2 linked regions of the Drosophila melanogaster genome follow. Changing the gene in region 1 together with any one later gene gives a genetic interaction. Each region holds a gene or a part of one and is shown in the gene's direction. Other genes may lie near its edges. The genes, in order: sbb and Mer.

The links.
Region 2: of sbb (region 1) and Mer, changing one enhances a phenotype caused by changing the other (phenotypic enhancement), as found in Drosophila melanogaster (one study listed by BioGRID).

Annotation. Positions count from the first base shown.
Region 1 is NT_033778.4:18,355,039-18,358,963, reverse strand, and holds the start of sbb (scribbler), read left to right. Parts: upstream 1-1,667; 5' UTR 1,668-1,826; exon of another isoform or gene 1,827-2,908; 5' UTR 2,909-3,464; intron 3,465-3,925.
Region 2 is NC_004354.4:19,691,576-19,695,500, reverse strand, and holds the start of Mer (merlin), read left to right. Parts: upstream 1-2,000; 5' UTR 2,001-2,065; intron 2,066-2,251; 5' UTR 2,252-2,543; coding exon 2,544-3,200; intron 3,201-3,259; coding exon 3,260-3,469; intron 3,470-3,566; coding exon 3,567-3,803; intron 3,804-3,865; coding exon 3,866-3,925. Other genes in the region: CG14229 (uncharacterized protein), read left to right, coding at 550-572, 637-934. UniProt on the Drosophila melanogaster protein: Regulator of the Hippo/SWH (Sav/Wts/Hpo) signaling pathway, a signaling pathway that plays a pivotal role in organ size control and tumor suppression by restricting proliferation and promoting apoptosis.

The DNA of each region.
Region 1 (3,925 bases):
TCCGGATCTTACAGGCGAAGACCTTAAGAAGAATTTCGGGGGCTCCTTGGTATATGAGAACAAGAGACATCGAACGCGACCTCAAGGTGCCCAAATTAGGAGACAAGCTCCAGAACATCGCCCAAAAATATATGGAAAGGCTTAATGTACACCCCAACAGCCTAGCAAGGAAGCTAGGAACTGCAGCTGTGGTCAATGCTGACCCTCGGACTAGAGTCAAAAGAAGACTCAAGCGACACCACCCTCATGACCTCCCTAACCTGGTTTTGACCTAGAAAGTCTTAGTTTTAAAATTCATTAGAATAATCAAATAAATAATAATTACTATGTTATATCAACTATTATAATTCTCCCTATCATTTTTAGGATTAAAAATCTGTTAGTCTTAAGTAACCAAGACACATTGTAAAATAAAATAATTTAAGCAGATCAAATTAAGTTGCCGCATGGGTAACAGTGCGTTGATCAAATAATAAAAACATCATCGAAAAAAAAAAAAAAAAAAAAAAAAAAAAGACAAATGTAATACAGTGCTCAAATATACAAATATTTAAACAAATAGGCTTGTACCAGCTTAACCTAAGCGCTCCTGATCTGAAACTTGGGCTGAGTGGAACTTATTTGCCTTTTGCATCGGCGACTGCTAAAGGCAACTTTCAAAATGCTGACGACGAATTGAAAATGCTCATGTTCTGCAATGCACCCTATATATGTAAATGTATACATATGTATGTATGTATATACAGCAAGGATATTTCTTGCCCATCATCATAATAATAATAAGGTGGCACAGGAAGGCGAGAATTACCACTGTCAAAGTTACACAAAGGTCAAATGGAACATTATGGCTTTATTTTGCGCCTAATAAATCTCATTATGTCATTATATGCTACTCCCCCAACCGCCAGCCCACCAACGAAAAAAAAAAAAACAAGGAGGAAATGGTCTTTGGTCGAGGAGATGGTGGAGGTGGTGGTGAGGTGTGTGCGTGTGCCTGCCAGCGTGCGTGTGGTGAGAAGGTGAAAGACAATAAGAAGGAGCAAACGGAAAGGAAGAACAACTACAACAAAAGGCAACTGACTATAGGCGAACGACATGCCAATCAGTAATCAATCCTCAGGACCCCACCAAAAACAATTTGCAGAGGCATAGCAATAACAAGAGCAACAAACGCAATAACACAAACAACAACAGCGGACAAGTGAGAGACCACACGACGGCACTGTAAACAAATTGGAAAGGGATGAACATACATAACTGCGCAATATGGCGTCGGCAGAGCAAGAGAGCGGGAGAGGGCACTAAGAGCGCACGAGCAAGAGCGAAAAAGCCGCCATTAAAGAAATGCCGCTCAGAGACCGTTTGTGTATGTGCATGGGAATGCCAGTGTGTGCGATGTAAGCAGTGGATGTGTGTGTAGAAAATGCCGCAGGGTTGTCAAGTGGCTGAGAATATTAACAAGTAAATAATCTTTTTATTAGTAAATTGTAACTTTATTGCTTTTAAGAGTTTGAAATCGCGATAACTATATCAGAGAAGCATTCGACTAAAAACAAGAATTCTTTCGGAACCATATAATTACCGAAATGTATTTGTTATTTTTCCCCATATAGCCGACAACCCTGCGCGTTGCTAGCCAACTCTCGCCTCTCAATTTATGCGCTTTTGTACGCGTTGCTCCTTCGGTTCGTTCGGACAGCACGGATAAAACGCTGTCGCCAAACAAAAACATAAAAAACACTGAGCGGATCAGGTTCTATCTTTAATTAAGAAAAACAACATCCCAAAAACAACAAGCAAGAAGGACTAAAATCTGTGGAAAAGAAGTAAGCAAAGCTGTTCCCCAGTGTGATTTCCTCATGTGCATTTAATGTAATTCAACTCGACAACAAAATAATAAGTGTTGTTGGCCTCTCGCTCTCTGGTCGTACCGCGTATCTGTGTGTGCGTGATTTAGTGTTTCGTCGCGTTTCAAGCAATTAACCCAAAGCAACGTAGAAATGCCAAAAACGCATTAAAAATTATTACTCGTAGCTGTCTGTCATTCACAACAGAAAAAAAAAATGAAAAGAGAAGAGTAACAACAGCAACGAGAAGAAGGAGGAGAGCGACAATCATACACAAGTGCTATTTGCCGCTACTCATAAAACAAATTACCCACTTGGGCCTGACTTGTGCGTGCGTTTGTATGTGTATCTCTGTGTGTTAAAAGAGCAGCGTAATCATCATCGCCAAAAAAAAAGGAAAAGAAAACTACTAAAAAGTAGTAGTAAAAAAAGAAAGGAAAAGGAGACGAACCAAAATGAGAGTGTGGCACTGGCAATATGTTGCTGCCAATAACAACAACAGCAACAGAAGCTTCATCAGTTGAATAGTACCGGAATAAAATTACTATACAGCCACTGCATGTGCTTGTGTGTGTGTGTGTGTGTATTGCGCTCTCCCTCTCTGTCTCTTTCTTTCTCGCTCGCACTGCCAGCCGCTGTGTATGTGCAAAGCTTTTTTATGTTTCGCACAAACATTGCGGTAAAAGAACGCCGACAAACGACGAACCCGTCGTCGCTTTGTCGCTCTCGCCAATTTCCGCGCGTGTGCAAGGTGAAGTCGCGTCGCGTCAGTCCGTCGGTCGTATAGTCTCTCTTCGTGTCCACTTCTCCCCTCGCTTGCCGTATCTCTGTCGTGCAACAACTCCCCCGTGTATTTTTTTTCTATGCCCCAAGCTCTGTTCACCGCCTCTCTTGCTATGCATGTACACGTGTATGTGTGCGGTGGAGCAGCTTCTGTTCTGCCAAATACATATGTACAGGCGGAGAGAAGGCAAAGGCAACAGAGCTTGGACACGCGCTCCCTCTCTCGTCGTCTCCCTCCCTCGCCTTACTCAAAGTGCCGTTTTTTCGTGTATTTGTAGAGAAATAAAGAAAAAAACAACAACTAACCTCATAAAAAAGTTCATACATTTGTCGCAAAAAAAAGAAAAATAGAAAAGAGAAGCAAATGCAAAAAGTGTCAAAGAAGTGAAAAACAAGCAGAAAAAAGAAGCAGCAGCAATAGAATCCAGCAGAAGCAGTGAAAAGCAGAAAGAAAAGCCAAGTTTGACTCTCTCTCTCTTTCTCGCTCTTACATAAATGGAAAATAATTCCTGAGATTGCGCTGCTAGGAAAATTTTGCGGATTTGCATTTCACCTTCCGTTAGCTCCGGGAGCTGGGAGTTTGGGAGTTTCTTTTGTGGATTATTACGCCCTCTCGCGTGCTCTCTCACTCTCTCCCCAAACCCCCCTCACGATAGTCGCTCACTGTGGGTGCGAGCAAGCCAGGAAGCAAAGGAATCATCACCTGCCCATCGCCACCCACTGCTCATTGCCACCCGACCCCCGAGCCTTCTCTTCATCTTTTGGATGCTGTCTATAAATCGGGAACGCGCATATTCAGAGCAGAAATTGCGACTATTTTGGATTTATAAAAAGGTAAGTTACAGTAATTATTATCGAATTTAGACTATCTAATTAATTTAATTTACAATTGTAATAGAGTTAATAAACAAAGAGCCAACATTTAGCTGCAATAAAATCTCTATTGTTTAAGTTTACACATCTCTAAGATACTCCACACTTTCTCTCTTGCTCGCACAGCACAGATACCTATTGAGTCAGAAGGAGAGCAAAGAAGAGAGGGAACGAGAGGGCATGAGCCTAAATTGATTTCCAGTTTGATTAATTACCGCACAAGTATTCGTGTACACATTTTTTTTTTTTCATCGAGTTAATGCCAATTAAGGCGTTTCAATCTAAGCCGATTTGTAATTAAATGGAGTTTTTTCTTGTTATTTCGAGCGATTAGAAAATTGACAGGCCGGTTGGTGTGCTTGGTTTTTTTATTATTTATTTTTTTTTTTTGTATTTTGTTTGTTACCTTTTTGAGATTTATT
Region 2 (3,925 bases), on another chromosome or scaffold:
CAAGTGCCCAAAAACAAAAAGAACCGTTACATTGAGAGAGTAAAAATTTCTTGCTCAGAGAGACAACATATGGTTCTTATTATTCATGCAATCTGACTTAAAAAAATAAAACATTTAATTATTTTTTTTGGTAAATCAACTTTCCACCTGCAGTAGTGTTATTATTTTAACCGCAGCTGTATTCATCGTGTCATCGTGAAGTAATTGTTGGGTATAAAATATTCTCACTTGGCGCTATTTGTCACTGAGACAACTTTTAGATTCACTTTATCCCTCCCTCCCAAAAATATTCTATTTGTTTGGATACAATATAATCTCGGTTTTCTTAACAATATCTGCTGTTTGGGTTGGCTATTTGTGATTTCCATTTAAGAAAAAACAAACCTCGATTAGCGGTATATTTAGCACAACCCATTGGTATATCCCACAGCCAATTTCGAACTTCGAGGCAGTCACACTGGTGGATGTCGCTGCTGTGAAACGGGGCAGGACAAAACAATTGACCAATAGGAACCGAAACCAACACACTGCACTGGCCCCGGGATCGGAATGGCTGGATTCCTGAAGACAAGGTAATCACCTTGACCAAGGTAGTGAGGTCCCAGCGCTAATCAAACGCACACCATTCCTCCACAGAAAGCGCAGCCGGGAGGATGAACTGGCCTGCGAGTCGCCCCTTTCGAAGCGCATCAACAACCTGAATCTGAACTACGAGGATGGGAACAGCAGCAGCAGCAGCAGCTGCAGCATTCCGCCACTGTCGGGAGGAGGAGCGACTGGTGGATCCGGCGGGTCCGATGCAGCCGGAAACGGTGTGGCGGCCGGATACGAATACAACCCAGAACTGGGAGCCGAACAAAACCCATTTTACTACGAGAAGAACAAGATGCTGTACGACCTGCATGTCGAGCGCATCAAGCGGAGCAGCCAGTAGCTAGTGATCATGGATTCCGGTGTGCGAGTCCAAGTCCTGGCACAGCCATTTAAGTGCCAACACGAGTTATCTGCAGCAACACTCTCTCTAGGTTCAAAGTAATTCGCCTCCGTTCAGTCTTCTCTGCGCACGGATTCGGATATCCGTGTCTGGAGTCACTTGCGTTTGTGTGATAAGCATTGTTTACTTGCATGGCATTAGCATCACCCCTGATGCATACACATAATAATAGTAGTATAAATTGAGCTAAGAGTCCCCCAAACACGCACATGAATATATATAAACTATGTTCATCGGTTACCATCCCTTCAATATGTATTTATAATCCTGCATGTATAATTTATTCTAAGAATAATGTAAGAAAACCTCCATATCTTTATATTTTCCTATTTCGATGAAATACGATATCCAGGGGGGTACAAGTTCATTGCTGAGTCGGTGGAGATGGAAAATAAGCTACAGGGACCTGATAAAACGAAAGCTGGACTTATTCATTGTTTATATACGCATCTGCTGACATGGTCATTTTGCTTATTCCGAGAATTTAAGCATGGACCTGCAATACAAGAATACGTCCAATAAACATTTACATAGTAATACATCTCATCCTTAGACAAATCTTTAAAACAAATATTGCGCTCAAGGACTTCATTTTCCCAATTCGTGACCATTGACAGGGTGGCAACTCTATATAGCACTGTGTTATTTTAGTTAATTCATCTTTCATCAAATAGCTGATCAAATCTATTTCGCAGCATTCAAAAATTCGTATAACTAAAAATGAGTGTACAATTTGAAAAAACATATTGCGGTATATTTTGGTATTTGGACTACCACTGTTTTGCCAGTTTTTGAAAACTTTTGGAAAATGGAAAGTTAATATATTTTTAAGGTATTTAATATGTTTTCATGTGCATATATTGACATTTCAATGCTTTATGTCGTTTGAGATGGATTAATTTAAGCATTATGATTCCTCCATAAAATTGAAATGGAATCACCCTACTAAATATACAAGGCGTCTGCCAAAGCTGATTTTTCTGCATCTAACGGCTGGTCACACTGTCTATGTTTATGTCGCGCATATCGGGAATTTGTCGTACAATTGCGATTCGCGGTGCAAACAATCGAGTAAGTTGCCTATTCTCGTACTTGGTCGATGTGGAGACCCTTCTGCCGACCCTCAATCAGCTTCCACGCCAAAGGAGCTGGGTGAGCGGTTGAATAGTGGGCGCCAGGATGCCGTGGCCACGCAGTTCTTAAATCGCAGCGCCGCATAAACGAAGAGCCTTACTCTTTCTTTCTTTCCGCTCACAGCCATCAGCCCAAATTGCCATTGCCATTGCCCGGAGCACCGAATTGGCTGCAAAATGAGGCAGTCCGCGATAGGCGAGGACCGCAGGAGCAGCAACAAGGAATCGTGCCACTAGATGGCACAGGAGCACCAGAAGGACCAAGAATCAGATTAGCAGGAGCAACAAGTCCTTTGCACGCAACAGGTTATCACGAATTGCCCACAAGAGCACTCAGTTCCCACTCCAATCCAATTGCATCTAACGCATCACATCACATTGCGTCGAATCTAATCAAAACACATCACATAATCGCGATGAGCCCCTTCGGCTCCAAGAAAAACCGATCCCTGTCGGTGCGGGTGAGCACCTTCGACTCGGAGCTGGAGTTCAAGCTGGAGCCGCGCGCCTCCGGCCAGGATCTGTTCGACCTGGTGTGCCGCACCATCGGGCTGCGCGAGTCTTGGTACTTTGGGCTGCAGTACGTCGACACCCGCAGCAACGTGTCCTGGCTGAAAATGGAGAAGCGGGTGCGCGACCAGCGCGTTGAGCTGCACGCTAGCAATAATGTGTATGTGTTTAGCTTCTACGCCAAGTTCTTTCCGGAGAACGTCAGCGAGGAGCTGATCCAGGAGATCACGCAGCACCTGTTCTTCCTGCAGGTCAAGCAGAGCATCCTCTCCATGGACATCTACTGCCGCCCGGAGGCGTCCGTGCTGCTGGCCTCCTACGCGGTGCACGTGCAATACGGTCCGTACGACTACGAGACCTACAAGGACGGTATGCTGGCCGGGGGTGAGCTTCTGCCCAAGGGAGTGACCGATCAGTACCAGATGACGCCCGAAATGTGGGAGGAACGGATCAAGACATGGTACATGGACCATGAGCCCATGACGCGCGACGAGGTGGAGATGGAGTACCTGAAGATTGCTCAGGACCTGGACATGTACGGAGTAAACTACTTTCCTATTACGGTGAGAGCCTTGATTTTCACGTGGCGCATCTGAATCTTATCGTTTGTGTTCCCCACCAGAATAAGAACAAAACCAAATTGTGGCTGGGCGTCACCTCCGTGGGCCTAAACATCTACGATGAGCGCGATAAGCTAACGCCAAAGACAACGTTCCAGTGGAACGAGATACGGCACGTCAGCTTCGACGACAAGAAGTTCACCATTCGCCTGGTGGATGCCAAGGTTTCGAATTTCATCTTTTACTCGCAGGACCTCCACATCAACAAAATGGTAAGGAGGGCAGTTGTGACAACTGAAATATGTATATGTATTTTCACTATGTTCATGTTCCCATATTCATACTACACTTGCATCGTGTGCTTTGCAGATTCTTGACCTGTGCAAGGGCAATCACGATCTATATATGCGCCGCCGCAAACCCGACACCATGGAAATCCAGCAGATGAAGGCCCAAGCCAAGGAGGAGAAGCAACGCCGCCAGATCGAACGCAAAAAGTTCATCAGGGAAAAGAAGCTGCGCGAAAAGGCGGAGCACGAGCGCTACGAGCTGGAGAAGAGCATGGAGCACCTGCAAAACGAAATGCGCATGGCCAACGATGCACTTGTAAGACTCACTCCGCCCAGTGGCTTCTGATCTATAATATTGAGTTTCTCCCTGTATCCCAGCGGCGTTCCGAAGAGACCAAGGAGCTGTACTTCGAAAAGAGTCGTGTCAACGAGGAGCAG